Coturnix japonica: one gene and its partners. The protein of the gene in region 7 interacts with the protein of the main gene of each other region in a biochemical or structural test. Links are inferred from orthologs where the notes say so. Each region holds a gene or a part of one and is shown on either strand. Other genes may lie near its edges.

The links.
Region 1: the proteins of UBC (region 7) and UBR5 form a complex in vitro, tested with the Homo sapiens proteins (7 studies listed by BioGRID, with this or other methods). The link is inferred for Coturnix japonica from reciprocal best matches to the Homo sapiens genes UBC and UBR5.
Region 2: of the proteins of UBC (region 7) and USP30, one has a biochemical effect on the other in vitro, tested with the Homo sapiens proteins (5 studies listed by BioGRID, with this or other methods). The link is inferred for Coturnix japonica from reciprocal best matches to the Homo sapiens genes UBC and USP30.
Region 3: of the proteins of UBC (region 7) and USP8, one has a biochemical effect on the other in vitro, tested with the Homo sapiens proteins (9 studies listed by BioGRID, with this or other methods). The link is inferred for Coturnix japonica from reciprocal best matches to the Homo sapiens genes UBC and USP8.
Region 4: the proteins of UBC (region 7) and SPRTN form a complex in vitro, tested with the Homo sapiens proteins (5 studies listed by BioGRID). The link is inferred for Coturnix japonica from reciprocal best matches to the Homo sapiens genes UBC and SPRTN.
Region 5: the proteins of UBC (region 7) and SQSTM1 form a complex in vitro, tested with the Homo sapiens proteins (32 studies listed by BioGRID and IntAct, with this or other methods). The link is inferred for Coturnix japonica from reciprocal best matches to the Homo sapiens genes UBC and SQSTM1.
Region 6: the proteins of UBC (region 7) and UBE2V2 are reported together in a solved structure, tested with the Homo sapiens proteins (6 studies listed by BioGRID, with this or other methods). The link is inferred for Coturnix japonica from reciprocal best matches to the Homo sapiens genes UBC and UBE2V2.

Annotation. Positions count from the first base shown.
Region 1 is NC_029517.1:117,682,792-117,686,379, forward strand, and holds part of UBR5 (E3 ubiquitin-protein ligase UBR5), read left to right. Parts: intron 1-41; coding exon 42-299; intron 300-671; coding exon 672-940; intron 941-2,432; coding exon 2,433-2,644; intron 2,645-2,946; coding exon 2,947-3,177; intron 3,178-3,588. UniProt on the Homo sapiens protein: E3 ubiquitin-protein ligase involved in different protein quality control pathways in the cytoplasm and nucleus. Mainly acts as a ubiquitin chain elongator that extends pre-ubiquitinated substrates.
Region 2 is NC_029530.1:5,778,808-5,782,395, reverse strand, and holds part of USP30 (ubiquitin carboxyl-terminal hydrolase 30), read right to left. Parts: intron 3,502-3,588; coding exon 3,407-3,501; intron 3,155-3,406; exon of another isoform or gene 2,982-3,154; intron 2,666-2,981; coding exon 2,606-2,665; intron 2,077-2,605; coding exon 1,990-2,076; intron 1,496-1,989; coding exon 1,415-1,495; intron 524-1,414; exon of another isoform or gene 438-523; coding exon 218-437; exon of another isoform or gene 38-217; coding exon 1-37. UniProt on the Homo sapiens protein: Deubiquitinating enzyme tethered to the mitochondrial outer membrane that acts as a key inhibitor of mitophagy by counteracting the action of parkin (PRKN): hydrolyzes ubiquitin attached by parkin on target proteins, such as RHOT1/MIRO1 and TOMM20, thereby blocking parkin's ability to drive mitophagy.
Region 3 is NC_029525.1:9,622,930-9,626,517, forward strand, and holds part of USP8 (ubiquitin carboxyl-terminal hydrolase 8), read right to left. Parts: intron 2,314-3,588; coding exon 2,169-2,313; intron 1,809-2,168; coding exon 1,751-1,808; intron 1,033-1,750; coding exon 888-1,032; intron 580-887; coding exon 417-579; intron 1-416. UniProt on the Homo sapiens protein: Hydrolase that can remove conjugated ubiquitin from proteins and therefore plays an important regulatory role at the level of protein turnover by preventing degradation. Converts both 'Lys-48' an 'Lys-63'-linked ubiquitin chains.
Region 4 is NC_029518.1:35,753,725-35,757,983, forward strand, and holds the start of SPRTN (sprT-like domain-containing protein Spartan), read right to left. Parts: upstream 2,826-4,259; 5' UTR 2,825-2,825; coding exon 2,490-2,824; intron 2,305-2,489; coding exon 2,205-2,304; intron 1,080-2,204; coding exon 951-1,079; intron 843-950; coding exon 575-842; intron 305-574; coding exon 1-304. Other genes in the region: EXOC8 (exocyst complex component 8), read left to right, coding at 2,927-4,259. UniProt on the Homo sapiens protein: DNA-dependent metalloendopeptidase that mediates the proteolytic cleavage of covalent DNA-protein cross-links (DPCs) during DNA synthesis, thereby playing a key role in maintaining genomic integrity.
Region 5 is NC_029528.1:4,616,612-4,620,878, reverse strand, and holds the start of SQSTM1 (sequestosome-1), read right to left. Parts: upstream 2,819-4,267; 5' UTR 2,742-2,818; coding exon 2,564-2,741; intron 2,464-2,563; coding exon 2,368-2,463; intron 1,638-2,367; coding exon 1,408-1,637; intron 1,313-1,407; coding exon 1,156-1,312; intron 714-1,155; coding exon 624-713; intron 107-623; coding exon 1-106. UniProt on the Homo sapiens protein: Molecular adapter required for selective macroautophagy (aggrephagy) by acting as a bridge between polyubiquitinated proteins and autophagosomes.
Region 6 is NC_029517.1:97,620,129-97,624,157, reverse strand, and holds the start of UBE2V2 (ubiquitin-conjugating enzyme E2 variant 2), read right to left. Parts: upstream 2,813-4,029; 5' UTR 2,789-2,812; coding exon 2,707-2,788; intron 1-2,706. UniProt on the Homo sapiens protein: Has no ubiquitin ligase activity on its own. The UBE2V2/UBE2N heterodimer catalyzes the synthesis of non-canonical poly-ubiquitin chains that are linked through 'Lys-63'. This type of poly-ubiquitination does not lead to protein degradation by the proteasome.
Region 7 is NC_029534.1:5,348,119-5,352,230, forward strand, and holds UBC (polyubiquitin-C), read left to right. Parts: upstream 1-1,312; 5' UTR 1,313-1,473; intron 1,474-1,534; exon of another isoform or gene 1,535-1,659; intron 1,660-2,209; 5' UTR 2,210-2,215; coding exon 2,216-3,589; 3' UTR 3,590-3,731; downstream 3,732-4,112.

The DNA of each region.
Region 1 (3,588 bases), on a different chromosome or scaffold from region 7:
GTAGTTGTCAATTACTGCTCACTGCTTGTTTTCTTTAATAGGGGCTAGCAGTGTTCCAGCATTTTTTTCTGAAGATGACTCTCAATCGAATGATTCTAGTGACTCGGATAGCAGCAGCAGTCAGAGTGATGACATGGAACAGGAGACCTTCATGCTTGATGAGCCTCTGGAGCGAACCACAAATAGCTCACATGCCACTGGTGCTGCCCAGGCACCCCGTTCGATGCAGTGGGCTGTACGTAATACCCAGAACCAGAGAACCACTAGCACTGCTCCTTCTAGCACATCGACCCCAGCAGGCAAGTATGAGTAAAATGCATGTGTGAATGTCACTTAACTCCTGGCTTTGCTCTTCTGTTTTCTTCTGTTCGTATAAGAATGAAATGTTATATATTCCTTTAAGAAGGATAGCAATGATATGTCTTGACTGTTCCAGTTCTGGGTTTGAATTTAACAAAAGCAGGGGCCTAGTCTAGTTCTTGAGACGTTACTATCTATATTAAGCATATTTATAATTCTTTTTTGTAGATAGTAACTTATTAATAGGTATAGTTGTTAGGGTCAGTAATATTTACAAGTTTTTTTCTTTCCTAGAAATGTTAATTATATTTGTTAATACATAAAATGCATGACAGAGTTTAAATTCATTAATGTCATACTTTTATATTTAGCAAGTTCAGCAGGCTTGATTTACATTGATCCATCAAACCTACGCCGGAGTGGTACCATCAGTACGAGCGCTGCAGCAGCAGCTGCAGCACTTGAAGCCAGCAATGCAAGCAGCTATTTAACGTCTGCAAGCAGTTTAGCACGAGCATACAGTATAGTGATACGGCAGATATCTGACCTAATGGGTCTCATTCCCAAGTACAATCATTTAGTGTACTCCCAGATCCCAGCTGCAGTGAAGCTGACTTATCAAGATGCAGTTAACTTGCAGGTAAGAATATCCAAAACTTTGCAGATAAGCATAATTTCAATGCAGTGGAATTTTTTTTGAGGTAGGATGATAAAATTGATGAGGTTGAAAGGGACCTTTGGAGATTAATTAGACCAAATTCACTGCAGTGTAAGGCTTTTGAGGACATAGAATTTCTCAAAGAGTGGAAACTTCTTAACTAGTCTGGGCAACGTATTTCAGTGCTGGACAGATCTCACAGTGAAAACATTTTTTTCATTATGTTTAAATGAGTTTACTAAGTATTTCAGTTTGTGCTTATTGCTCTCTGTCTCTTCACTGGATACCACTGAGAATATTCTGGCTTTCTACCTTTTCACCAGGTACAGAGTCATTAAGAACCTACTGAGTTTGCCTCTTGAGGCTAAGTGGTACCAGCTCCCCTGGGCTCCCCTTGTTTGAGAGAGAATGTAGACTGAAGTAGCTCTACTTTACTAGTCTCATTAAATTGTTTGTATTTTGATATAACTATTCTTTAAAAAAAAGAAATTTCTGTGGTTTTTTTTGGTTTGGTTTGTTTTTTTTAATCTACTTAAGTTTGACTGGCACCTGATTAATAGTTGGAGTTTGTGTGCTTTGGATATGTTAGCTCTTGCCCTTTTCTTTTTGACCTGAGTATCATAAAATACAAAAGCTAGTGAGGTCCAAATAACTGAGGTAAAGAATTCTCCAAATTTACTTTTTTGCTGTTGCTTCTTGCAGGCACATAATCATCCCTTCCCTCTTATGTGCATGTTTTTGGTACTGTGCTCTTGACTGTTGGTCTTAAAAAGTATGTGTGAAATGCAGAATGCCCCTTTAGAGAAATAACTGGAAGGGAGGATTAGTAACTGGCATGCATAGGCAGAAACTAATCTCAGACAGTAAAAACATCTGAAGGAGGAACTTCAGAGGGTTTTGGATGTATTTATAGCTTTGAATAAGGGCATAGTGTATGGAGGCAAATAATCTATACAGAAGTTAGTACAGAAATCCGCTGTTAGGGGTATTACTGCTGGTTTGGAGAGTTCAGGAATTCAAGCAGTGATTTATTTATTTATTTTTCTTCTGTTTATAGTTCTGTATTCTGGGATGTGGAAATGAAGTAATTACTTGTAGTTGTTCTATGAGGTATCTCTACTGGCTGTATGTTCACAGACCAAAATCCCCCAAATCTCTGCATCTGGGGGTGCTGCGTGGTCATAAGGCGAGGCTTAGAAAAGGTGCCCAAAGAAAAGAGAGGGATGGTGAGAAAGCTTTACAGACCTCAGGCTAGCAAGTGATGAGAGCTGTACACCTTAATGGTAAACCAGCTGTCTCAGTAAAGGTCTCAGAATTATTTTTTAAACTTTTCACTCTTGAATGGGCTTTTACAGCCCCTTTGTGGGAGAAGTGATGTAAATGTAAAAGCCATGGGTGGGGGCTTATGTTGAAATTGCATTCTTATCATCTAAATCTGTTGTTGGTAAAACTCACTAAATCTCGTTCTGTATAGAATTATGTAGAAGAAAAGCTTATTCCTACTTGGAATTGGATGGTTAGTATAATGGACTCCACAGAAGCTCAGCTGCGTTATGGTTCTGCATTAGCATCTGCTGGTGATCCTGGGCATCCAAATCATCCTCTCCATGCTTCTCAGAACTCAGCTAGAAGGGAAAGGATGACAGCCCGGGAGGAAGCCAGCTTAAGAACACTCGAGGGAAGAAGGTATGAAAATAGTCTGATTGCTGCATGTGCTATGAGTGCTATTTTTACAGTCAAATCTTTACATTCACAGATATTTAAGGATATTTAAGGATTTACTTTGGTAATATAGCAGTAGTTGTTTGGATTTAAAGTGGCTTTTTGTGTTGTTGGTACAATTTTGTTTATTCCGATTTCCCATGAAATCATAATCATTACTCTTATTGCACTTCTTTGAATTTTGACATCTGTATTTCAGATGCAGAGACTGAAATGGAAAGGATTCCTGTGGTGCCTAATTCTTTTGTATTCCTTTCTTTCACCAGGCGCGCTACTTTACTCAGTGCCCGTCAGGGAATGATGTCAGCACGTGGTGATTTCCTCAACTACGCACTGTCTTTGATGCGTTCTCACAATGATGAGCATTCAGATGTTCTTCCTGTTCTCGATGTCTGTTCACTAAAGCACGTAGCCTATGTTTTTCAAGCGCTTATTTATTGGATTAAAGCGATGAATCAACAGACAACATTGGATACTCCTCAGCTGGAACGGAAAAGGTATCATACAAGTCTGACTCACAGAAACAAACTTTTGTAAATGTTGCACATGCCCCCATCTTTCCATCTTTGAAGGTGCTAATCAGCAGCTCAAATAAATACGTTTATCTGTATACATAGCTGACTCTGAACGGAATGCCTCCTATTTATTTCCATGGAAACTACAACAGATACAAAGAGCACAGTACTGCTATTTGATAGGGCAGATTTTCAGCTGCAAAATGCTTTTTCAACATGGTTACCGCCATTACCTGTGTGCTTTTTACCAGTGATGAACGGGAGCTGGCAAGCCACACTTGTAAAAATCTGTACCAGTGGAGGTGACCCACACTTTCACAACTGCTGTGATGGCATCATTGCTAGGAAAGTTTTGCCTACACAACCCATCTTTCATTGGCCCAAACAGATGGA
Region 2 (3,588 bases), on a different chromosome or scaffold from region 7:
ATAAGGAGCGATTTGGTACCACGCGTCTGTTCTGCATCTGCAAAACAAAGCAGACATTGGTAATTTAACTAAAATGCTACAAGTATTGCTAATAACTGCTTCTGTTTCTACAGTGTCATCACAGAATGTGAAGGTAGTTTGCTTATTTTAATTCATTACATATCACAGTCCCTTACAGTTGAGACAGGTATGATATCTAAAGACAAGAGGTAAATACCTGAAGGTTTTACTGCTATCCCATCCTTTGTTCCAGGTTTTGTCTCTTCAGAGCTTTTCTGATTCAGATCATTCTGAGTTGATTTATGAACAGGAATGTGATATTTGTAGATGTCCATGATTAAGAACTCATTGAACTGTACGTGTTCATGACGTTTCAGAGGAGTACCTTGGTTTGACCAGCTCAGTCTTTGCAGATGGATACACAAACACTGAGGGAGCTTCAAAGTTCCATACAAAAGAGAAGTCAAAATACATTTTAAGTGAAGAGAAACAGCTGTTAAAAGCATTCTAATGGAACTAAATGGTGAGTCCAGTAGATAAGGAAATAAGTCACTGAACTGTTGCTCCTTTACATGCTATTTCTGTATCTAAGCTTACTGCAATAATATTTCTGAGTCATAAGAAAAATCTCACAACTTTTGAGATCTCTAATAGTGCTTCTATTGCTCACTAGGCAGTAGGATAGAGCATGTTAATTATTTTCTCCAAATGGGGGAAGGAAAAAAAAGGGTAAAAATCACACACATTCCTCAAAAGCCCATCTCATTTAGTAAGGTAGGAATGAGCACTAGAATTGTGTCAGTAAGTTGCTGCCAGGCATTTCCTAATATGCCATAACTAATGGCATCACATAGTAAGAGTACCCAGGGAAAAAAGGTCAAGGAGTTATAAATATCTGACAGACAAAGTCATGCCTTTGTCAGTAATGAAACTGTATTATGAATGGCCCTGAATTATATGATCACAGAACAAGAAACTTGTAAGAACCTCTAATATAAATCTCCTATTCTTTAGCACTATGTTCTCTTGTTTAAACCTTCTTTATTTAGAACATTTTAACTCTGAAGTGCACATATTATCCTACAAATAGGTTGTATATATGAGTTGCTTTACTCACCAAGGGAATAAAAAACTAATACAGGGCAAGCAAACTGCACCTAAGCCAAACTCAAGTGTTTTGGTGAATAACAGTAGAATACTCACATTCTTTAAGCTAAAGAGTTCAGAGCTTTGTTGGATTGAGGCTTCAATGCCTACAAATGGTTGACAAAAAGCTGTCTTTTTTTTTTCTCTTTTTAAGGGGAACAGAGAATTGTAATAAGTAGCAGAAGTAGACATCAAGCAAACAGATCAAATAAAGAGATTACTATTTAACAGGATTTAAAAATGGATTTGGAGGGTCAGCTTGCCTTACCTTCCCTAGCTTTAATTGCTTAACAAATGTTGTTCTCTGGTTTTCTATGCTCTGTCCATTCAGAGTCCCTTCTGCCTGAATCTGAAAACAAAAGGAAAACAGAGAAGTTTGATTACATGCCATTATCAAATTACAAGCAATAATCCTGCTGCAGGTTTGCATGCTGCATATCAAGCTACCTTTGGGTCATGAATATCTTCTACAATTTGCCTCTCTCAAGAGCTGTTGGCCTATTCTGATAGATCCACGTTTTAACACCAAGTTGAGCAGAAATGAGCTCTTAGAAGACAAACCTAGTTTACATGTAGCCATTTCTGTTAGGTTTCAAACAATCCATTTTGGCTTTCTATCATCGAAGTACAGGCAAATATAAAGTAACATTTAAAAACAGGACTTTTTGTTGTTGTTGTTCTCCTAAATATTACCCAAATACCAAATAAAGCACTTGTAAGTTTTATTATGTTAACAATAAAGCTTCAAAATACTGTGGGGTAATAACTATTTTAAGAATAATAAATTCCAGGCAAGCTAAAGGCTTTCCTGAAGTCATGAAGACATGCATTACAATGACATACTTTAGTGCAGTTGTCACACACAACATCCTTCACAGATTCAGAGGAGATGAAGTGATGGAGGCAGTGATCCAGTGTCATAGGATGACCCTTAGAACAACAGCAAAAGAAATTAATTGCAGACATAAGGTAACTGTTACAGTACAAAGGTCCTGCACATTTTGCCCCCAGCTCTACAGTGTTTTATCATTTAAAGATCTTCACAAAGCCAGTGAGAAACAGAAACTATTTCCAGTTGAATGCCTGTGCTGGTTAACTGGCATTCTCTCACCACAGAGACAGGGCACTGGAAGGTCATCTGAGTCTGCCAGTGACGCACAACCCTCAGGATGCAATCTGGTCTGTTCAAATTAACCAAAAAAAACACCCCAAATAATCCACTAGGAGAAGGAAAACTCAGTGCCAACATCATGCCCATAATACTAATTGCTCATTTGCCGCATTGCCTTAGTAGTAAGGTACTGTGTTAACACATCAGGATTGTTTATGAAGGCAACAATAGTTATAGTAACACCTCGTTTAGGTGTTACTGAGGCTGTAGAAGGATAATAGTGAAGATAAAGCCCTGATGGCAAGGCAGCAGTGCTGGCTGGGTCACCCATCAAAGGCAGATACATACCCACATAGCGGCTGGAATACTCAGTGAGAGACTGTCAAACGTATCGTACCTCACAGGACTCTGCAAGAGAATATTTCAAATGCAGTGAGCAAAAATACCTGCAATGATCTAAAGAACAAAACAGGTCAATCACTGCCTCCCAACAGTGTTCTGCAAAGCAAGCATATCTGTGTATATCCAGTGGAACAGCATTAAAACACTTGTTTTCCCCACCAGTTTTAGTGCTAGGAAACACCTGATGCAGTGCACAAGGTACTACTCTGCCTGTTTCTACTGAAGCTGCCCCTGCTCACTTCTAAATCTGCATGTTTTTGAGAAGTACCTTATAGTTGGATGTATGAATTACATTTGTTTTCTGTATTTTTGCTCTATTCAGGTGATCTTCATTTCCTCAGGTGACTGCAACTTAATTTGCCTTTGCATGCGCCATCACAATACCACATGCTGAACGAACAGCTAGTCCTAAAGTGCTACCCGTGTGAGTGGATCTTCAGTATATAATATCTGTGATATTGGATACTGAATGTAATAAAACAATTATTCTGCCTGGTAAGACAGCTGTCAGCCACAAGAAGTGCATCACACTTCATTTTCTTTGGTATGCTCAGCAATGTTTTCTTGTTCAATACAAAACGTCATACAAGTAGCTGAAAAAAATAATGGCTGAAGCTGTTATTCCTGCAAACTATTGAGCTTAAACCAATTATGTTGGAAACAAAGGATGATGGTTTCACCTCAGAACACACTGAATCTCAGGCATCATTTTTCATGTATACCTACACACAACAAGCTTTCTTATACCTGGTGTTCACAGTGTTTGCAAACCATGTTGCTCGTCAGCCTTCCATGAAAAGGATGCTGAGACTTCCAGTGATTTGACATAGGAGGAAGAGATCCTGAAACACAAAGTTGAAATCATCCTTTTATCTTCACGTTCATCACTATCATTCCAAACTTTTGGCCTATTGTAACAAAAGGTGTAA
Region 3 (3,588 bases), on a different chromosome or scaffold from region 7:
CATTTTATCTAACCAGCTTGCTCGGTGATTAGGTGCACCGGTAAACAACACATTTGCTTTCTGAAAAGCCCTTCAGAGTTCAGGCTCCAGCATGGCCTCCTCCTGAGGTCCTTAATACTAGAATGTGAACAAGACACACAGGCTTGTGTTCTCTTCTGTAAAGCAGTAAGCAGGGAGAACTGTCTGAATGATATTTGTACTTAAAGTTTACTAACTAACTGTTGGGGAGTTGAATCATTCTGCTCTTTGTCTGTTTAATGAATTCTTTCTACTACTACAGCAGAAGCAGGGGGAAGCAAAGCCTCAGTCTATACTTCTGCTATCAAAATAAGCAGTCTTGGAAAACTGAACCAAGATGTTTACCTGGAATGTCTTATTTATGAGATGAAATAATACAAAATATGAAACTTGCCAACCTTAAAAAGTGCATCTTTCAGGCTCCGAAGAGTTGTTCCTAGCTCTAAGTCTTCTGCAGAACTAAACCAGTCCAGCAGTACAACATAATCAAAGTGTCCTCTCTTCTTCCATGGATCTTTAGAATCCTCTGGGAGTCTAGCTTCAATCCAGCTAGCAGTAACTCTGAAATGTATCAATATGCATTGAAATGGGAGATGGCAACACTTCATCCAACAATACATAGAACCATATACATTTATGAGTCTGGATAAATTACATGCTCTCTGGATTTAAGTTGGTACATGCAAGAACAGTCTGGATGTATTTCAACAATTTGTATGTATTGGGGACTCTGAAACTAAAGTGTCGGAGCTGTAAAAGCCTATGATCTTTCTAATGCAGAGTTAGGTTTTTTTTTGTTTTAAGAGAAAGCAAGAAACACCATTTCAGGGAAATGAAATGTTTCATTATCATTTAACATTATTCCATACCCAGCACTGATAGCTTCTTCTGGGACGCTGACAGATCTTGGAATACAGGACTCCTGGTAGTCCTTCAAGCTTCGAGCATCCATTATAATCAATTCAATGCTTTTGTCTGTCATCATTGCAAACAGTTTCTCGGCTGTGACTGCTCCTAGAAATATAAAAACTGTTAGATACTAAAAGCTACAAAAAAGTATCATTGATTCTGGAGTAATCAAGACTGCAAACCGATGACATAGAACAGAAAAGTACACAATACGTTAATACACGTTCTTCCCACAAAGCCATGGAGCTGAGAGTGCAAAGCAGATTGATTCTTTTGCTCCTGCTACTGCAGTGATTAACAGCTAACCTGCTGAAATTGACAATACTGGATGCTTGATGATAAATGAGTTTAATTTGTCATGGACTCTTTTAACTCTTATAGGTAAGCACTCATGAGCTACATACTGCAGATGTTCTCTAGAGTTCTCTGCTGAGAAGGAACACTTTCACATTTATTACAGGACCGGGATGGGCAGGAGGAATTTCTTATTTAACTGAAAAAGTTGTCACTCCTCAGCCTTGCTTAGATTTTTTTTTTTCTTATCAGTTGAAAAGACATTTTTGTTATCTATGAATTTAGTTATTAAATTAAAAAACAACAACAAAACAAACCTCAGGTCCACTTTCTAAGTTCAAGAAAAGTCATGAGGATGTAAATACAGAGCTTTGTCACTAAGCTGTTATTACTGAAATACAGGATAGCAAAATTTTATCCAAATATTCTGACAGTGAAATAACCTTAAAGAACTGCAGCAGCAGAAGCAATAGGTACATAGGTATGTAGAGACTTTTATCACACCTGTGTAAATGTTATTATCTCTTACCACTAAAACTCTCAGCCTGATCCTTTCTTTCCAGTGAATGCTTCGTTTCACCATTAATCTGTGTTGTACAGAAGGGAAAAAACAGTAAGTTAAATCAGGAACTAATCCTGAGAACCAAGGTGGCCAGCAGACACTGATTCTCATACAACTGGAGGGAAGCTGGCCAAACTATGCCACAGGAAGCAGTCTAGGAAAAGAAAGCTTCTTTACAAGACTGTCTTAAAGACTTTGAGGTTACTAGAACTCAACTTTTTGAGTTTTCTTTGGAAAGGTAGTAGGGAGTATAAATTAATTAAACAAAAACAACCCACACCAAAACACGATTCAGTACGATTCTGAGCTGGAGATGGCTAATAAATATCAAACAGTAGATTAAAACTATAACTGAAATAGAGAGCTTGCAGATATCTTCAATTACCCTTTGGCTTTTTCCTTTGCAATCCACTGTACTTTCTGATGAGGTTTTGGCTGAACTCTTTCCGTCGTCTTTTGGTTCTTGCTTTTTCTGCAGCTCCTGTCTGTCCCTCTCTTCAAGTTTTTTCCGTACTTCAGCTTCCTCATATCTGTGGAAACATAAGTGTTGTGTATCTTCTTCCCCGCCCCCCCTCCAATATTACATAATAAGCTGGCAGTAGTTAATTACTACCAGCAATAGCAAGTCCTGGTGTGGGGTGGACTTGGGTGAAATACTCCCCAGCACCCACTCCTTGCAGCAAACCCCCATTTTCATCCATGACTGCTTGTATTGTTTCTCCTGCTTTTGGGATGATTTTCTTCTCCTATTCCACAGCCATTACTCTTAAGGCTTACAATTCTTTTTCTTTAAACTGCTGTCACTAGTTGCAATAGATTCTTTATTTCATGGAAGCAAGAGTACAAATGGGTCACTTGCAAGTAAACTTCCATATACTGTGACAGTCATCCAAGCTATTTTATGTGGTTTTGCAACAGTGCAGATAATAGTTAGACAGTTATCTCAGTTCTCTGAACTTCCTTTTTTTGGGAAGTTGGATCAGAACTACCTGTACAGCAGTGGTCATCTTCAGGGTGTAAGCTGATGTTATAGTTCTGTTGTGCCCTCACCAGTTTCCCTGCTGTTCAAATTTTAGGTCTACATTTACTTCTATGCAAGAATCACATACACATTTTTCTGCAGACCGAAGTCCTGCATGTAGATGTTCCTTTCAGCCTTGAAAGTTAACCTCCCAGCCACTTGCTTTTGTAAGGACAATCACAGAAGTGTAAACCAGTGGCCTCTGTACTACAGCTTTTAGATCAACTTCAGGCTGTTACACTCACAATGCTGTTAAAGGGCATTATATTATATTTAACACAATTGAAATGATGAGGCTTAATAGTGCTCTACAAAGCAATAAGTGTTTGGAACTAACAGTGTTGATGACTGAGCCAAACAGTAGGGCTTGAGAACTGAATCATATCAGTAACTGCTCATTCTAATTAGATGATGACTAATAAGGATTCAAATGACAACTACTATGCAGCTTTATTTCATATTAAACACTGCGTTAATAAACTAGATCATGACATCAAATTCTGCCTCAAACTCTGTTCTGCTAATTGGCCACTAATAGGAAGCAGGCTGCAAGCCTAATTTTATTTCTTAAACAGACTTCTAATTTACAGTGACTTTGCCAAATCAAGAACAGAGCTTGTTAGCCGTGGAAGCTAATGGAACTAAAGAATATTTAAAGCTTTTGCTGAGTTCAGTCCATATGGTGTATTTACCGATCAGCTTCCCATGTACCCTGAGGTACACAGCAGCTCCTTCATAGAAGTAATTCTAAGACTATACAGTGTGTCAGCAGCTCCCCTTTGAG
Region 4 (4,259 bases), on a different chromosome or scaffold from region 7:
GTATTAGCAACAGAGAGCTTGGGGAACTCCCGCTTTGAAGCTAAGTTCATTTTCTCACTAGCATCACCGCTAAAGAGAGGAAAGAAGGTATCGTGACGGGGTGATTTCTCAAACTTGATCTCATTTTTAGGTCTTGGCACTGTGCTTCCTGCCCAACGATGCTGCGAATCACAGCTCTCGCTGTTTTTAACACTGCTGCTGAACGTTAAGCTTTTCTCTGAGAGTCCACTGCCTGCTCCTCCCAGTCGATACCCCTTCCCACTAAAAGGCTTTGGATCTTTCTTATCACCCAAGTGGACCAGGCCTGCAAAGAAGAAGAAAACACAAAAATCTAACAACTTTTTTCATATATAAACCACCAATTTACGTGAGAAAATCTGCAGCTTGAAAACACCGCAGCAGAATAAACCTCATGAACAATACAGTTGAGAAGCCTGGAAATTAACAAAATAGGCCCTGTTCTTTCCTACTTAATATTTAATACCCAATACAAAGCTCACATCATGATGTTAGTTCAAGGGACTGTTTGGATAAGAACAGTTGGGAAAACAAAGAAATAAATGATTTTAAATACCTTTGTTGGTTGACTTGGAATCCTGAGGTTTTCCTGCCTCTGTTTTCTCCTTGTGTTTCTTAGAGAAGTTCTCAGGTTCTTTCACTTTTGTGAACGTACCTCCGCATTTCTCTTGATGCTCAGCCCACCAAAAGTCTCGTGCAGAGGGTGCTCTATTCATTGAACGTTTCACATACCCAAAATAAGGTCTTCTATACTGACAGGGGCCGTTGCATCGCCACCAGTGCTGCCGGTACGAATCTACCTCGTCATGAAAATTATGATAGATCTAAGTGTTAACAAAAAGATACAACAAGCTCCAATCAATCAGAAGAATTCTTACTATATATTCATGACTATATATATATATATTTTACATTAAGTGAACTTTGCTTACTGTGACATTGGCTCCAGTCAAACGATTAATGCGACGCATGTGTTTGCAGAACTCCGGCCCGTGAGACTCACGATCTCTGTCGTTGTTAGTAACAAAAAGCAGAGCATGGATCATCTCATGCAACAGTGTCTGAAACAATGAAAATCATCAGTTATTAATGGAAGAGCGTTACAGAATCACAGAACAGCATCACAGAGAATCACAGAATGACCCAGGTTGGAAGGGACCTCAAGGATCATGTAGTTCCAACCCCCCTGCCTGGCAGGGCCACCAAACATACACCTTTACTAGATCAGGTTGCCCAGGGCCCCATCGAACCTGGCCTTGAATAGGTTGGGGCATCCACAACCTCCCTGGGCAGCCTGTTCCAGGGCCTAACCACTCTCCTAGTGAAGAACTTCCCCCCAACATCCAACCTAAATCTTCCCTCTTTCAACTTAAAACCATTTCCCCGTGTCCTGCTATTGTCAGCCCTTTCGAAGAGTTTACTCCCCTCCTGGGAATAAGTTCCCTTCAGGTATTGAAAGGCTGCAATGAGGTCACCCCGCAACCTTCTCTTCTCCAGGTTAAACAAGCCCAACTCCCTCAGCCTGTCCTCATAGGGGACGTGCTCCAGGGTAAGCATTACATGTAATTTAAAAACTAAGCTTGAAATGTTTTATCTTTTTCATTCATCTCTGCACTGATCTCATCTTTATACGTCATAAAAACACAACATTTATTCTACCTGTGAGATCATTAACTCTGCTTCCATATAACACTGAGTGATGGTCCACAATAATTATTCTATGTGTGAAGTTGTTAATTCTACTCCAGTGCAATGCTGAGTGTCCTTGCAATAAGAAGAAACAATCCTGAAGCTCGTCAGACCTCTAAGGAGGTCACACCCCCACGAACAAAGAGCTACATGTAAGGAGGCTGAAATTACAGCACCTCTGTTCATTAAGCAAACCTGAGCATTCATAATATCTGAGTCACCATATGTATGAACTCCAGTATGAAACATAAGATGTGGGAGGTGAGGTGCCATCTGTTTCATGTTTCACAGAATCACAGAATTGTAGGGGTTGGAAGGGACCTCTAGAGATCATCGAGTCCAACCCCCCTGCCAAAGCAGGCTCCCTACACCATGTCACACAGGCAGGTGTCCAGGCGGGTCTTGAATATCTCCAGAGAAGGAGACTCCACCACCTCCCTGGGCAGCCTGTTCCATTGAACAGTTCCAGTTTGGATATGTCAGCAGCCTTCGTGTACCTCAACCAGGTCCTTCCTCGGCCTTAACTTCAGGAGCGGCTCACTCAGGCGGATAGAACACATCCCGCTGTTCCCTTCGTATTTACACACTCCAGCGCAGCTGAAAGAGACCAGGGAACAAAACATCGTAAGCGATGCTCTTATTATGTATAGTCAGCTGAGAACTGTCACAGAGCGGCTCAATACTGAGCAGCCCCCCTCCAAACGAGAGGAGGGTGCAGAACCCCATCAGCAGCACCCGGGGGCTCCCAGCCCCACCTCCCCCCTCACCCCCCCATGTCGTACAGGGTCATGCGCGGGCTCCACGACACCTCCACGGCCGCCAGCCGCCCCCAGAAGAGCGCCTGGTTGAACTGCACGAACAGGCCGTGCACGTCGGGGCTGGGATCCAGCAGCTCCCAGGCTTCATCCACCACCGACAGCGGACGGAGGGACAAGGGGTCCGGCGAGGCCTCTACACGAGCCGGCGCCGCCTCCTCCTCCGCCTCCCACAGCTCCTGGAGCTGCAGCGCCAGAGCGAAGTCATCCTCCTCCTGCTGCTGCTGCCACTCTCGTTCCACACCCGCCGTCAGTCCCCGTGCGGCCATGACTGCGCCAACCAGCTCCGTTGAGCTGCGCATGCACACCCCGCACTGACGCACTCATTGTGCGCCGCGCTTCCCCGCCCGCCCCTTCCTCCTCCCAAGGTGTCGGTGTCGGTGTCGGTGTCGGTGTGTGTGAGCATGGCGCTGGCGCTGGGGGAGGGCGGCGGTGGCAGCCGGCTGCGGCGGCAGCTGGAGTCGGGGGGCTTCGCGGCGGCGGAGTACGTGAAGCAGCTGTCGCAGCAGTCGGATGGAGACCGGGATCTGCAGGAGCACCGGCAGCGCATCCAAGCGCTGCAAGAAGAGACGGCGCAGAGCTTGAAGCGCAACGTCTACCAGAATTACCGGCAGTTCATCGAGACGGCGAGAGAGATCAGCTATCTGGAGAGCGAGATGTACCAGCTCAGCCACATCCTCACCGAGCAGAAGGGCATCATGGAGGCCGTCACGCAGGCCCTGCTCCTCCAAGCCGACCGCGACGACCCCGCCCTGGGCGCCCGCCGCGCCGCCGCCGCCGCCGACCCCTTCCTGCCGCTGTCGGCCAAGGAGGCCGCGGCCAGCGAGGAGGGCCGGCAGCGGACGCTCACCACCCTGCTGGAGAAAGTGGAGGGATGCCGCGACCTGCTGCCCGAGAGCCCCGGCAAGTACCTGGTGTACAACGGCGACCTGCTGGAGTACGACGCCGACCACATGGCGCAGATCCAGCGGGTGCACGCCTTCCTGATGAATGACTGCCTGCTGGTGGCCACCGCGCTGCCCAACCGCCGCGGTGCCTACCGCTACGATGCCCTGTACCCCCTCGAAGGGCTGGCCGTGGTCAACGTCAAGGACAACCCGCCCATGAAGGACATGTTCAAGCTGCTCATGTTCCCCGAGAGCCGCATCTTCCAGGCCGAGAACGCCAAGATCAAGAAGGAGTGGCTGGAAGTGCTGGAGGAGACCAAGCGCAACCGAGCCCTGAGCGAGAAGCGACGCCTGGAGCAGGAGGCCCTGCCCCGGCCCGCCCCGACACCTCCTGAGTCCACCAACCCCTTCGAGGAGGAGGACGAGGAGGAAGAAGAGCCCTCCGTTGAGGAGGAGGTGGTCGACCTCTCGCTTGAGTGGATCCAGGAGCTGCCGGAGGACCTGGACGTTTGCATCGCTCAGCGGGACTTTGAAGGGGCTGTGGACCTGCTCGATAAACTCAACGAGTACTTGGGAGACAAGCCTGTGAGCCAGCCCGTGAAGGAGTTGCGGGCCAAGGTGGATGAGCGGGTCCGGCAGCTTACGGACGTGCTGGTCTTTGAGCTGTCTCCGGACCGCTCGCTGCGAGGAGGACCACGGGCCACACGCCGAGCCGTGTCCCAGCTTATTCGCTTGGGCCAGTCCACCAAGGCGTGTGAGCTCTTCCTGAAGAACCGGGCGGCCGCGGTGCACACAGCCATCCGACAGCTGCGCATTGAAGGTGCCACGCTGCTTTACATCCATAAACTCT
Region 5 (4,267 bases), on a different chromosome or scaffold from region 7:
TTAGCAGTACTGCTGCTTGACTCGGCACCGTTATTCTCTTGATTAGAAGCAGGAGTCACTTTGCTTCTCTGTCCTCCGTGTTCCACATCAATATCAACTTCAATACCTGGGAATACATTTGAGACCAAGAAAAAACCATTAGATTTTTGAAAGCACGGTTCTAAGAAAAAAAGCAAACTTTAATCCTGGACTAAGTGCTGCAGCATGACTGTAACCCTACAGCTCCCCATATAATACGTATGAATTCAAGTGCAAAGCGTTCTTTTAGTTAGCTCTGATGCACCAATTAGTCATCCTGCACTAAAAAGACAGGCCATGTGTTTAGAGGGTCAAGGCAGACCTTAAGTATGTGTGCCTAAGCAAAATACCACTGTAACATGATTTTAAATCATCGGTGATTTGGGGTTATATAATTAATCCCTTCCTTGGATCCTTACAAAGGACTCTGAAAAGGTACTGAGTAGATGGCCTATACCCACACAATTTTAGTACACAGAAACTTAAGGCTTTTGAGGCTGAGTAGCACAAAGTGGTTCTGGTACCAGCCACAACAGCTGGCTGCTGCTCCTGGTGGGAGCAAAGCCATTCTCAGGGATGGGGATGACACACCATAAGTCACTTACCCAGGGGGCTCAGAAAAGCTGCCACACTCTCCCCAACGTTCTTTAAGAAGGTGACATTGGGGTCCTGGGGCTGGCTGTTAGTAGAAGCTTCTAGAAGAACAATTTGTGTTAGTACACATAGCAGCCCATAGGGAAAGAGCACATCCCCAGGAATTCTTGGTGCTTGTTTTGTGTCACTCATCTGCACAGCACCAAGGCAGCAGAGAGACCAAAACCACCTCTGGAACAGAAGACCAGTGGCATTAGCACTGTTAAGGCTCATCAGCCATGCTGAAAGCACATCTAAGAGCAGAGCAGTGACATGCTTGACCTAATAGCTCTGCTTGGTCTGGTTCCAAATAGGCTCTCCATAACCTCATATATTGTGTGGCCACCAGACCACACCAGTGTCCTGGAAAGGGCTCATTATTTCACACAAATTGGATTAGTTCCCATGTCTATTTTCCCACCCAGATCCCACACTGGGCTGTGAAGTCCCAGCTTCTCTGGCTCCTCCACTACTATTCTCCTTTAGCAGACCATCTCCTCTTACCTCCAGCAGCGGGTGGACTGGAGGCAGCAGCACTGGCCTGGGCTTGTTCCGAGTTCTGGCACGGAGCTGCAGGTGCGGGATACCCCCAGCAGTGCATCCAGGGGAAGGGTGGAACACCATGCCGCATCTTACGGAGCCAGCGCCCTCTGGGAATCCACTGCAAAGGGTAACGTTCATGGGACCAGGTGAAACTTAAAGCTTACATTTGGGCAGCATCCCTTTTGTTGGTTCTGCTCCATAGGTTTTGCTCACCTCAAACGGATTCAGCAGCGGGCTCTGAAACATCACCATGTTGTGCTCCTTGTGGATGCCTTTCCCCTCACAGGTGCTGCACAGGTCGTAGTCTGGGCAGACGGTGCACTTAAATCGAGCGCCCACCACCGGCCCCTCGCAGCCGTCACAGATGACATTGGGGTGCACCATGTCCCGGGGAGGCTCCTGGCTGCACTGGGAGCGATGTTCACGCCTGCACTCCTTTTTCTCTATTAAGGAAAGGGATCTTTGCATCAAGAACGAGGGTACTATTTAAAGGCTGGAAATCGGGCAGAGGGGAAGGAAACACAAACAGCCCTTGTCACAGCAGTATTGACTTACTAGGGCAGTTTATTTTTACACTGGCTGCCAAACACAAGCTGGGGGCACATAAGAACATAAACCAAGTGCAAAGGGGTGGTTCAAGGATACCCGCTCTTCAAACACTTTGTTTTAGATCAGTGCTGCACCACCCTGCCTGGAGCATCCTCCTACCTTGTGGAGTGCTGCGAGAAGAGAATGTTTCTGAACAGAGCTGAGCAGTGCCAGGGGACACTGCAGGTGAGAACTGAGACAAGAAGGGCGGCCTACACTACTCACATCACAGCCTACAGATAAAGCTTTGTAGGTGTCCAAGTGAACAGAGCGGACTGGGGAATGATGTGCTTAGGAATAAGCTGGTTTTGGGGTTTCTTTACATGTCATGGCACCTGCTGGCAGTACGGCAGGGGGTTCCTAGGACCATCCTGAACACTGCAGCGCTCACTGTGCCAACCCAGGCCCCGGAGCCAGGAGGAACCCCTGCACACAGTGGGTCTGTGCCCGTCTTTACCTCGCCCTTTATGTAACCTCCCCTCTGAGCTGCAGCACGAGGATGAGGGACAGGACCGGGATTTTCCCGGTCTCGGAGCCGTGCCAGCAGCACAGAGCGCTCGGTGCCACCGGGCTGCGGGGCGTTACCTTTGATGTACACACGGAAGACCCCGTCCTGCACGTAAGGCATGGCCATATCCAGCTCCTCGTCGGTGGAGAACGCGATCAGGTCCCCGTCTTCATCTGGACAGAGCAGAGCACACCGTCAGGCGCTCGGCCCGCACCCACCTCCCGGACAACGAAGGGGGCCCCGACCCACAGCGAGCCCCCCCGCCCCGCTCACCCTTGTAATGCATACGGAACGCGGGCGGCGGCCCGGCCCGCAGCAGCCCCTGGAAGAGCTCGGCGACGCGGTCGTGGACGGGCTGGTAGCGGACGGGAGCAATGAGCGAGAAGCGGCGGATCTCGCGGGCCGCGTCGTCCTTGCCCAGCAGGTAGGCCTTCACCGTCAGCGCCGCCATGGCTGTGGCGCAGCACGAATTGCTGCGGGACAACGAGCGGCGGGAGGCGGCGCGGGGCGGGCGGTGCTGCGGGAGGGAGCGGCGGCACCGAGCCTTATAGAGCGGGGGGACGGGCCGGGGTGGGCACAGCCCTGGGTTAAACCACGACCACTGCCATTAGGCACCGCCCCGCCGCCTGGAAATACAGAGCCCATATTCGCCCCGAAAGTAATGCCTCCTATTTATCTGCATGGAAACTACAACAGCTACAGAGATCACAGTGACGCTGTTTGACAGAGCAGGTTCTCAGCTACAAAGCACTGTTTTTCAACGCGGTCACCACCACTGTGCTGTGCATTGTCATCAGTGGTGAACACGAGGCTGCATGCTGCTCTACAGGTGACTGTGAAACACACGGCCATGCCGTGCTCACAGTGCTGTGCTCACAGTGCTGTGCTCACCCACTCGTTGGGCTCCATAACACTCAGCAGCTGTTGGCTCCTTCACCCTCTGCTGCCATCCCACCTGCAAATGGGAGGCATTACTTTTGGAGCAACCCCTTTGCCTCAGCTCTGTAGCACTGATTCCCTCCAGCCCACAGCCTGGCTGCCCACCTTGGGCTGAGGCAATCACAGTGTGTAAGCCATGCTGTGCTGCACTGCAGGGTGAGCGTCCCCCCACGATGGGTTGTGTGTGCCACAACACGGCCTGCCGTGTGGATGTGCCCTTGGTGCACATGTGGCTGCTCTGGGATCACAGCACGCTCCTGGGACGTGGCACTCGTGCAGCATGAGGTGACAAGTGAGAGCTTGGTGTGAGCCACAGCCAGGCATCAACATGAGTCCTTGCTCTCCTCCATGGGCACTTCCATCCAGTAAACATGGAGAGCGTCCCATCTCAGCTGCCTGCTGAGTCACGCTGGGCTCTCTGGCCGTGACATCATTCACTTTCTCAAAGCACAAAGCAAACAAGGCCTGCGGTGAGCAGTGAGCTCAGCTCAGTCACGGGACGGGGTGACTCAGCATTCCCTGCTCCTCCTCGAGGTGGGGATTTCCTCCTCCAGGCCCTGACTCTGGTGTTTCCCCGTGGCCTGGTGCTTCGGCCCTGCCGTGCTCCCATGTATTCCAATGGCACTCACTGCATCCTCCCATCCCACAGCCGGACGGACAGACAGATGTCTCCCCACCAACCCCAACTGCACACTGCTCTGCAGCCTGAGATTTGGCTTAAGCTCTTGTTAACCTGAGCCTGTATTAACCTGGAGGACCCAGGCCTGGAATTTATCTGGCAGCACTGAATGTTTTCTTGCTCTTCTTTAGGAACCACATTCCATCCATAGAACAACCCTTGCTCAAAAAACCACTTGTCAGCCCCGGCTTATGAGCAGCTCCCCAGATGGACGGAGCAGGAGGACAGCAAAGAGGATGGGAATAAAACTGTTCCAGTTTCACGACTCCAAGTTGCAGAGGGAGGGCTCAGAAAGGAGCATTCAGCAGCCCCGCAGCTCTGCTTCCTCCCTCCACCCACCTTCTGCTGGAAACTGTTTG
Region 6 (4,029 bases), on a different chromosome or scaffold from region 7:
GTGAAATTTCTCAGCTACTTAAAGTGCTGACATACACACTTTCTCTTGCACACACTAAAGAAAAGCTATCTTCAAATGATATTGTTTTTAAAAGGCATTATTCTTACTGTTCAAAGAATTAGAAATCTCATTATTAAAGGAATTTCTGGAATAAAACTGAGACAGTTGACCTTAGCAAGTTTTGTTGGTTTTCCCTGGTGCTACAGTTTCACAACTGGATTTCACACGATCGATACATTCATTTTTCTGAAATAAATAAGGATGAAGTTGAACACGACAGCAAGAGCAGATGAAATTCACGCAGGCAGAGGTAAAACTCATGTCTACAATAAATCACTCCTTCCTCTTTTCCATAGAGAAGAGCTTAACATTGCTTCCTGCTAAGAGTCAGTCTGTGTGAAACCTACACATTCCTACCTACTATAGGACTTCTTTGTTGTCATTGTTCTTTCCCTATCTCCAATTTGTGCATATGTCAATAAAAAGCCAACAGCATTTTCCCCACTGTAATAAGCATTTTGCTCCAAGAGATATGACTAAATATTCCTAGCAGTTGTGTTAAGGAGGGTTTGCATGCTTTGTTTTATTAAAATGACTTTGTTGTTTGGGACAGATGCATGTATGATTCTGTACATTTCCCATATTTTGTGAACTTTATCACAGAATCACAGTATTAACAAGGTTGGAAAAGACCTAGAAGATCATCTCGTCCAACCATTACCGATACTTCCCAGCCAAATCATATTCATCAACACAACATCCAGACGTTTCTTGAACACTCCCATGGTCGGTGACTCCACCACCTCCCTGGGCAGTGCATTCCAATGCCTGACTACCCTTTCTGAGAAGTAATACTTCCTAATGTCCAGCCTGAATCTCCCCTGGTGCAGCTTAAAACCATTCCCTCTAGTTCTATCACTGATTACACGAGAGAAGAGGCCTGGGCAACTGTATTCCTGAGACAAAAACTACTGCGCTATTCAGTTAAACTATACAAAGTATATAGAAGCTTCTAAAATATCACATGTAAGACTACAAAGGACATTTATAACAGTAAAACCATGAGAATTTTGTTTAAAAATTACTGCTTTTTATGTAGTCAAATACACTGTAGGAAAAAATCAGCTTTTTTATATACAAATTTTTAGTAACAGATACTCTACAATAGCCTGCAGTCAGTACTGACATGCAAAATGCCAATACTCAAAGCACATGCCTTAAAACAGCTTTATTTCCTGTGCAGGAAACCCCATGTCAGAGCCCAGACAACAGCAGAAGACTTTGGAAGTTATTTAATAGTAAAAGTATTCGTAAATTCTTTAAAACTCTGATATCTGGTATTATGCTAATTGTTTTAATTGCAGTAATCCATAGCTGAGTAAATACTGAACTTTCTCTAATGTATCTATTCCAGCTCAGCCTGACATAGGTAATAATATTTCTTTTTTGGACTGCTCTTTGGACTTGCAAGAGCTGCTCTATGTCCAATTCGTTGTAATCTTTCCAAATTGGACTCTGTGCATCCCACATCTCCATAAGTCATATTACCAAGTGGAGAGAATGTTCTCCTAGCATGAAAAACAATCTCCTTGAGGAATCAACAATAAGGTACCAAAATAAGACATTTCACTTGCTATTTTTTTTCCTGCTTTGTTATAGTCTCAATCCTTTGACGAGCCAGTGGATTGGGAACAGAAATGAATCGGCCTGGACAATGTCTAGCCTAGAGAGAGCACTGAGGTCAATTGATTCCTCTGTCCTGAGCTCTGTCAATCCCATTTACATCTTATAAGCTCTCGGGAGTGAGAAAAGAATGAAAGAGGCCCTGTAGCTCTCAGCTTTTTACAGCAGAAAAAGATCTTATTTTTCAAGCCCTTCATGAAACAGAAGTGAGATGGTGTAACTATGCTTCTTAAATTTTTCCATTCGTGACTTGAAGAAGTATTCTTGTCTATTCGTTTATTACCTGCTACCTCAACATTCCACCCAACAGATTCTGTATTGGTTACAGAATTCATTCTCTCCTGCTTCCAAGTTACACCTCGCAGCTCTTTGCCTTTTCATTTGCCCACATGATAAACTGGCTGCCCACTGAAAGAGAACAAGACGCTTCACTCCTTATCCCCAGCACACTGCAGTCACCAATCAACTGCAGTACTTTTCCTCTAAGGCCAGACCTCTGTCCCCTTGCAGAAAGAGCAAAAAGACACCACCTTCACTTTGGAAAGATGCTACACTACAACTGCTGTACACAGACGTGTAGATGGTGCAGCAATACAGATCCTTGCTACATTTTTTTTTACCAGGGCTGGCAACATCCCCTCCATTCTCTCCACACACACACACACACACATCCACCCCTTCCTGCCTATTAGCACAGTCTTCTCCACCCCACCACACTGATTCCCAGAACCGATGTACTTTCTCACCCCATTGACGACGTAACTCAGGATCTCACGGCGGCGTCGCAGCCCTAAAGACAAGAGGGTCCATCCCCGTGGCCGAGCCCAGCCCAGCGGTGCTGCCGTTTCCCTTTCTCCCCCATCGGATGAGTCCTCCACCCCACTCCACTCGCTCCCACCATTGACAGCTCACCCAATCCCCGAGAAAGGAGATATACCCAGCCCTCATGAGGCGTCCCCACCCGCAGACACAACACTGAGCTCCCCCGCCACAATCCCAGGCCCGCCGAGCCCCCTCACAGACCTGTGGAGCCAGCCATCTTGTCCAAACCCCCCCGCGCCGGGCCGGGCCTGCACGCCAAGCGCGTCACTACCGCCAAATGCATACGGCACTTCCTGCATAGGGGCGGGCCGCTCCGAGGGGCGGGCGAGGAGGCGGATATATGGGGTGGGGCCTGGCTGTGAGGGAAGGGGGTACACAGGGAGCCGATTGAGGCTGTTGTCTTTCCATATACGAAACGTTGCATCTGCTCAAGCTTTTAGTTCTTCCATTGCATTCTGTTTCTTTTGACAAAGCTGCTATTTCTGAGCAAACGGGAATAAGCAGCGCTTTCAGTGCTTGCAGTGATAGAATGAGAAGTGAGCTTTCCGAGTACAGCAAACAGTATGAACACGCACACGCAGCTATAATAATTAAAGACTTTTCTCCTTTATTATAACATCCTGGACATTAGGAAGTATTACTTCTCGGGAAGGGTATTCAGGCATTGGAATGCACTGCCCAGGGAGGTGGTGGAGTCACCAACCATGGGAGTGTTCAAGAAACATCTGGATGTTGTGTAGATGAATATGATTTAGCTGGGAAGTATTGGTAATGGTTGGACTAGATGATCTTCTAGATCTTTTCCAACCTTGATAATACTGTGATACAGCGGTCACTGTAGAAGATACCACAGCCTGGAGTGGAAAAAAGAAATACAACGTGAACTGTCCTTATTCTTCTGGTCGAGATTCAGCCCATTTGTTTTTCTGAAGGATCTGCTTTTTCAGGTGATTCTATACTAACAGTCAATAATACGCCCATGTGTCTTCTCAGACATGATACAAATAGGGCAGCAAGGCTACCAACCCAAAGCAACTGGCTCTCAGTAACTCTGGAAGCACACAAAGGACTCCATGGTCCATCTGCATCTACACCTGCTGACTTGATGTAGGACACGTGGTTGCTGGCAACAAATTATTTCGATGTTAATTGCAGACGGAGGAAATAAAGAAAAGGCAGGATGCAGGAGGAAGAAATGGTATCCATCCCATTCCTGAGGATGACTGTTTAAGTAATATTTGGAACAATGTCTGGAGAAAAGACAAATAAAGAATAATATTTCCCCTTTTCTCTGTTTACAGCAAGCACAAACATATGATAACTGTATCTTAGAGCAAGTCTACTGCAAACATTATTTTTATCTATTTTCGTGTAACTTTAAGTGAAATAAAGGATAGACATCTGAATGAATGGCAGTACAATCACAAATCAAGCAAAGCTCAATTCCCTTTTTTCTTTACACAGAATATTTAAATACAACTACTGATTCAGAAAGTGCAAATGCTCCCATGAGTAGTGCTTTGC
Region 7 (4,112 bases):
CAGGATACACGTCCTGTATTTACAGGTTTGCATTTATTTATACACAGTCCAGTCAGTTGCTTATTCACATGGAGCTACTGGAGGAAGGGCAGTATGTGTGCTAAGTACTTAGATATATTTAACTAGAAAACAACTGCTTTCGTAAATAGTTTACTCATAGGATTTGGCAATAGTTTTTTTGCTTGTTTGTTGAAGGGAGGGCTCTGGCATTTTCTGAAAGTGCCGAAATCCTTCATGCAAACCCAAAACACCCAGGGCAGACTTTAGCTTAGCGTTGTGGTTAATATCCAGTTTAGCAGCTGTGGCCTTTCACATTTGTAAATATTATTGCTAGTTTCTCATGGCTTTCCTCTCAGAGCTCCTTGTTTAGCTGCCTTGGCTCTAACCTCTGCTGCTTTGGTGCTATGTACACGAAAAGAGCCTATTGGAAACAGTGAGCAAAGTTGGCAGTATTAAGGAAACAGCGTTGCTTAAGTAAGGCCTTTGTCCTAAATCTACGTAGTCCTAAATCTACGTAGTCCTAAATCTATGTAGCTGAATAGTATCTCCGAGGTTTCCAGTTTCTCTTTTCCTCCCTTCCCGTCTACATTCTGAGTAACTGCTGGGAAGATTTATGTCCTTTTTACTGTAAACCAAGTGCTGAGCAGTCACAGGCCTTGCTAAAAGAAGTGAAAGCTCTCTTTTTAACTGGGGGAAATACAGCCCTGTGTTCAGTCCTGCTATTCACACACACGTTCGTGCTTCCTAAGCAGAGGATTTACCAGCAAGTTCATCTGTGTTCACCGAGCAGTAAATGAAACAGCAGAGAAACCTTCCTGCTTTCTGCATGCTCTGGTTATGATATAAGAGCTGTTCTGAAAGGTATAATGAGCTTTAATGAACACAAAACATGCCGCCACGTCGGCTCAAAGCAGGAAGCTGCTGTGTGACCTGTTCAGTGCTTCCTGTTCTGAAAGCAGCAGTGGGCCTGCTGTGATTAAGGGGTATTTTTGCCCCCTTTCTCCTTGTCAGACCCTTCCCTAAGCAAATAACAGGCAAAAAGATGCGGCCTAAACACAACGTCCCCATGGGCGCGGGGCCTGCCCGGCCTCTCCCTGCCCCCACTCTACGGATCTGCGCATGCGCACACCCCCCCACCCCACCGAAATCTGCCCCCGCAGAGCAGGGCCGCCCTAGCAACAGCGCTGACCTCACCGCGCACCAATCAGAACGCTGCAACGCTGGAATCTTCCAGAGCTTTCTTTACAACGGATCTTTCCTTAACAACCAATCAGCAGCCACCTTTCTTACTGCTGCGCCAATCAGCGCCGATCTTGCCACCGTTGGGATTAGAACGTTTCATTAGGCCGTTTCACCGCAGCTCCAGATCCATCCGCGCCCTCAGAACTTTTGGGATTTTGAAGGGTCTCCTCTCTCTACCGAGGACATCACGGACCCCATTACTCCTGGAGGAGGGATTGGAGCGGTAGAGAGGTGAGTATTGCTGGTACCGGGGGGGGGTTCGTTTGGGACTACTTTGAGAGGCGGAGGGATACGTCAGCGCTTTGAGGGCGGGGACTGTGCGGCGCAAGGAGCATAAATAGGGGCGGCGCTGCGTCACAGCGCAGAACACAGCGACTGGGATCGGGATTGCATTGATCGGAGCTCAGGGCCGGAGACGTGAGTTGTGTGGGGGGAGCGCTGAGGGGGGGGAGAGAAGGGACGGTGGTTTTTTGTTTTCAAGGCAGAAGGGGTTGGAGTGAGTCCGCTTGGGGTTGTATTTGTGAGGGGAGGTGGTTGTGGACGGTCTAATCCGGCCTAAGGGCGCTTGAAGAACGGTGCGAGGGGGGGGGGGGGGCAGGGGAAGCTTGTGGCTGAGGAAGGTGGGGTGTTATAAAGATGGCGGAGCGCGGCGCTGTGCGGCCCGGAAGCGGGAGCTGAGTCAGCGCGGCTGCAGCCGTTGTGCCAGTGTGAGAGCACGGGGGGGTGCCCTGGAGTTAAAGGAAGGGGGGTGCTGGGCTCGGCCAGCACAGGGCATTCAGAATTATAGGGTCCTACCTCAAGGAAGAGGTGGGGAACAGGAACAACAGGGTTAGTTATAGCTTATTGAAATCCTAAATGATGTAACGTAATGCAAATTAGTAAGTTGTTCTTTTTTTTCTCGTTTGTAAGGTGTATGTGGACTTAAAGTGCTTTTTAGCTAAGGCTAAAATTTCTGTATGTTTTTCAGGTAAACATGCAGATCTTTGTGAAGACCCTGACTGGCAAGACCATCACCCTTGAGGTTGAGCCCAGTGACACCATCGAGAATGTGAAGGCCAAGATCCAAGACAAGGAAGGCATTCCTCCCGATCAGCAGAGGCTGATCTTTGCTGGCAAGCAGCTGGAAGACGGGCGCACCCTGTCTGACTACAACATTCAGAAAGAGTCCACTCTGCACCTGGTGCTGCGCCTCAGGGGAGGGATGCAGATCTTTGTGAAGACCTTGACTGGCAAGACCATCACCCTTGAGGTTGAGCCCAGCGATACCATTGAGAATGTGAAGGCCAAGATCCAGGATAAAGAAGGCATTCCTCCCGATCAGCAGAGGTTGATCTTCGCTGGCAAGCAGCTCGAAGACGGGCGCACCCTGTCTGACTACAACATCCAGAAGGAGTCCACCCTGCATCTTGTGCTGCGTCTGAGGGGAGGGATGCAGATCTTCGTGAAAACCCTGACTGGCAAGACCATCACCCTTGAGGTTGAACCCAGTGACACCATCGAGAACGTGAAGGCCAAGATCCAAGACAAAGAGGGCATTCCTCCCGATCAGCAGAGGCTGATCTTCGCTGGCAAGCAGCTGGAAGATGGGCGCACCCTGTCTGACTACAACATCCAGAAAGAGTCCACCCTGCATCTTGTGCTGCGCCTCAGGGGAGGGATGCAGATCTTTGTGAAGACCCTGACTGGCAAGACCATCACCCTTGAGGTTGAGCCCAGTGACACCATCGAGAACGTGAAGGCCAAGATCCAAGACAAAGAAGGCATTCCTCCTGATCAGCAGAGGCTGATCTTTGCTGGCAAGCAGCTGGAAGACGGGCGCACCCTGTCTGACTACAACATCCAGAAGGAGTCCACCCTGCATCTTGTGCTGCGCCTCAGGGGTGGGATGCAGATCTTTGTGAAGACCCTGACTGGCAAGACCATCACCCTTGAGGTTGAGCCCAGCGATACCATTGAGAACGTGAAGGCTAAGATCCAAGATAAGGAAGGCATTCCTCCCGATCAGCAGAGGTTGATCTTCGCTGGCAAGCAGCTCGAAGATGGCCGTACCCTGTCTGACTACAACATCCAGAAAGAGTCCACCCTGCACCTGGTGCTGCGCCTCAGGGGTGGGATGCAGATCTTTGTGAAGACCCTCACTGGTAAGACCATCACCCTTGAGGTTGAGCCCAGTGACACCATTGAAAATGTGAAGGCCAAGATCCAAGACAAAGAAGGCATTCCTCCCGATCAGCAGAGGCTGATCTTTGCTGGCAAGCAGCTGGAAGATGGGCGCACCCTGTCTGACTACAACATCCAGAAGGAGTCCACCCTGCACCTGGTGCTGCGCCTCAGGGGTGGCTATTAGTTGTTGTCAGCAGTCTTGTCGAGCAAGATGCACAGCACTTGTGTTTGCACTGTAGTCTTTCTGATGTCTTAAATTAAACGCAAGCTTAAGTAACTGCTGATCTGTATGTTGAAATGCTAATAAAGTTTTCTGTTGCACATTACGTTCTGTTGTCTGTCTCAGTTCAAGCTAGTAAACCCAGTATATATAAATGACACGTTCCTTTTGGCTTTCTTCCATGGTGGTTTAAGCATCTTTATGTGGGTTGTGGAGGTATTTGAGGGTGAATCCTAACATGGATTAAAGTCTTAAGTCTAAGCACTAGTACTGTGTCACTAAATCTTGCTAGAATTTAACGTGATTCTGTATTTTCAGAAAGGATGCAGTGTTCCTGTAAGGACTTCAGAAGCTGCTGTCCATCATTAAGGCTGTAGGACTAAGGTAGTGGGAGTGGGTTGTACACTGCACTGTGTTAGAATGGGTGGTGCTGAGGTTCCATTACCTCACTTAGGTGTGACTTCTCAGTGTCCTTGGTGCAGTTTTT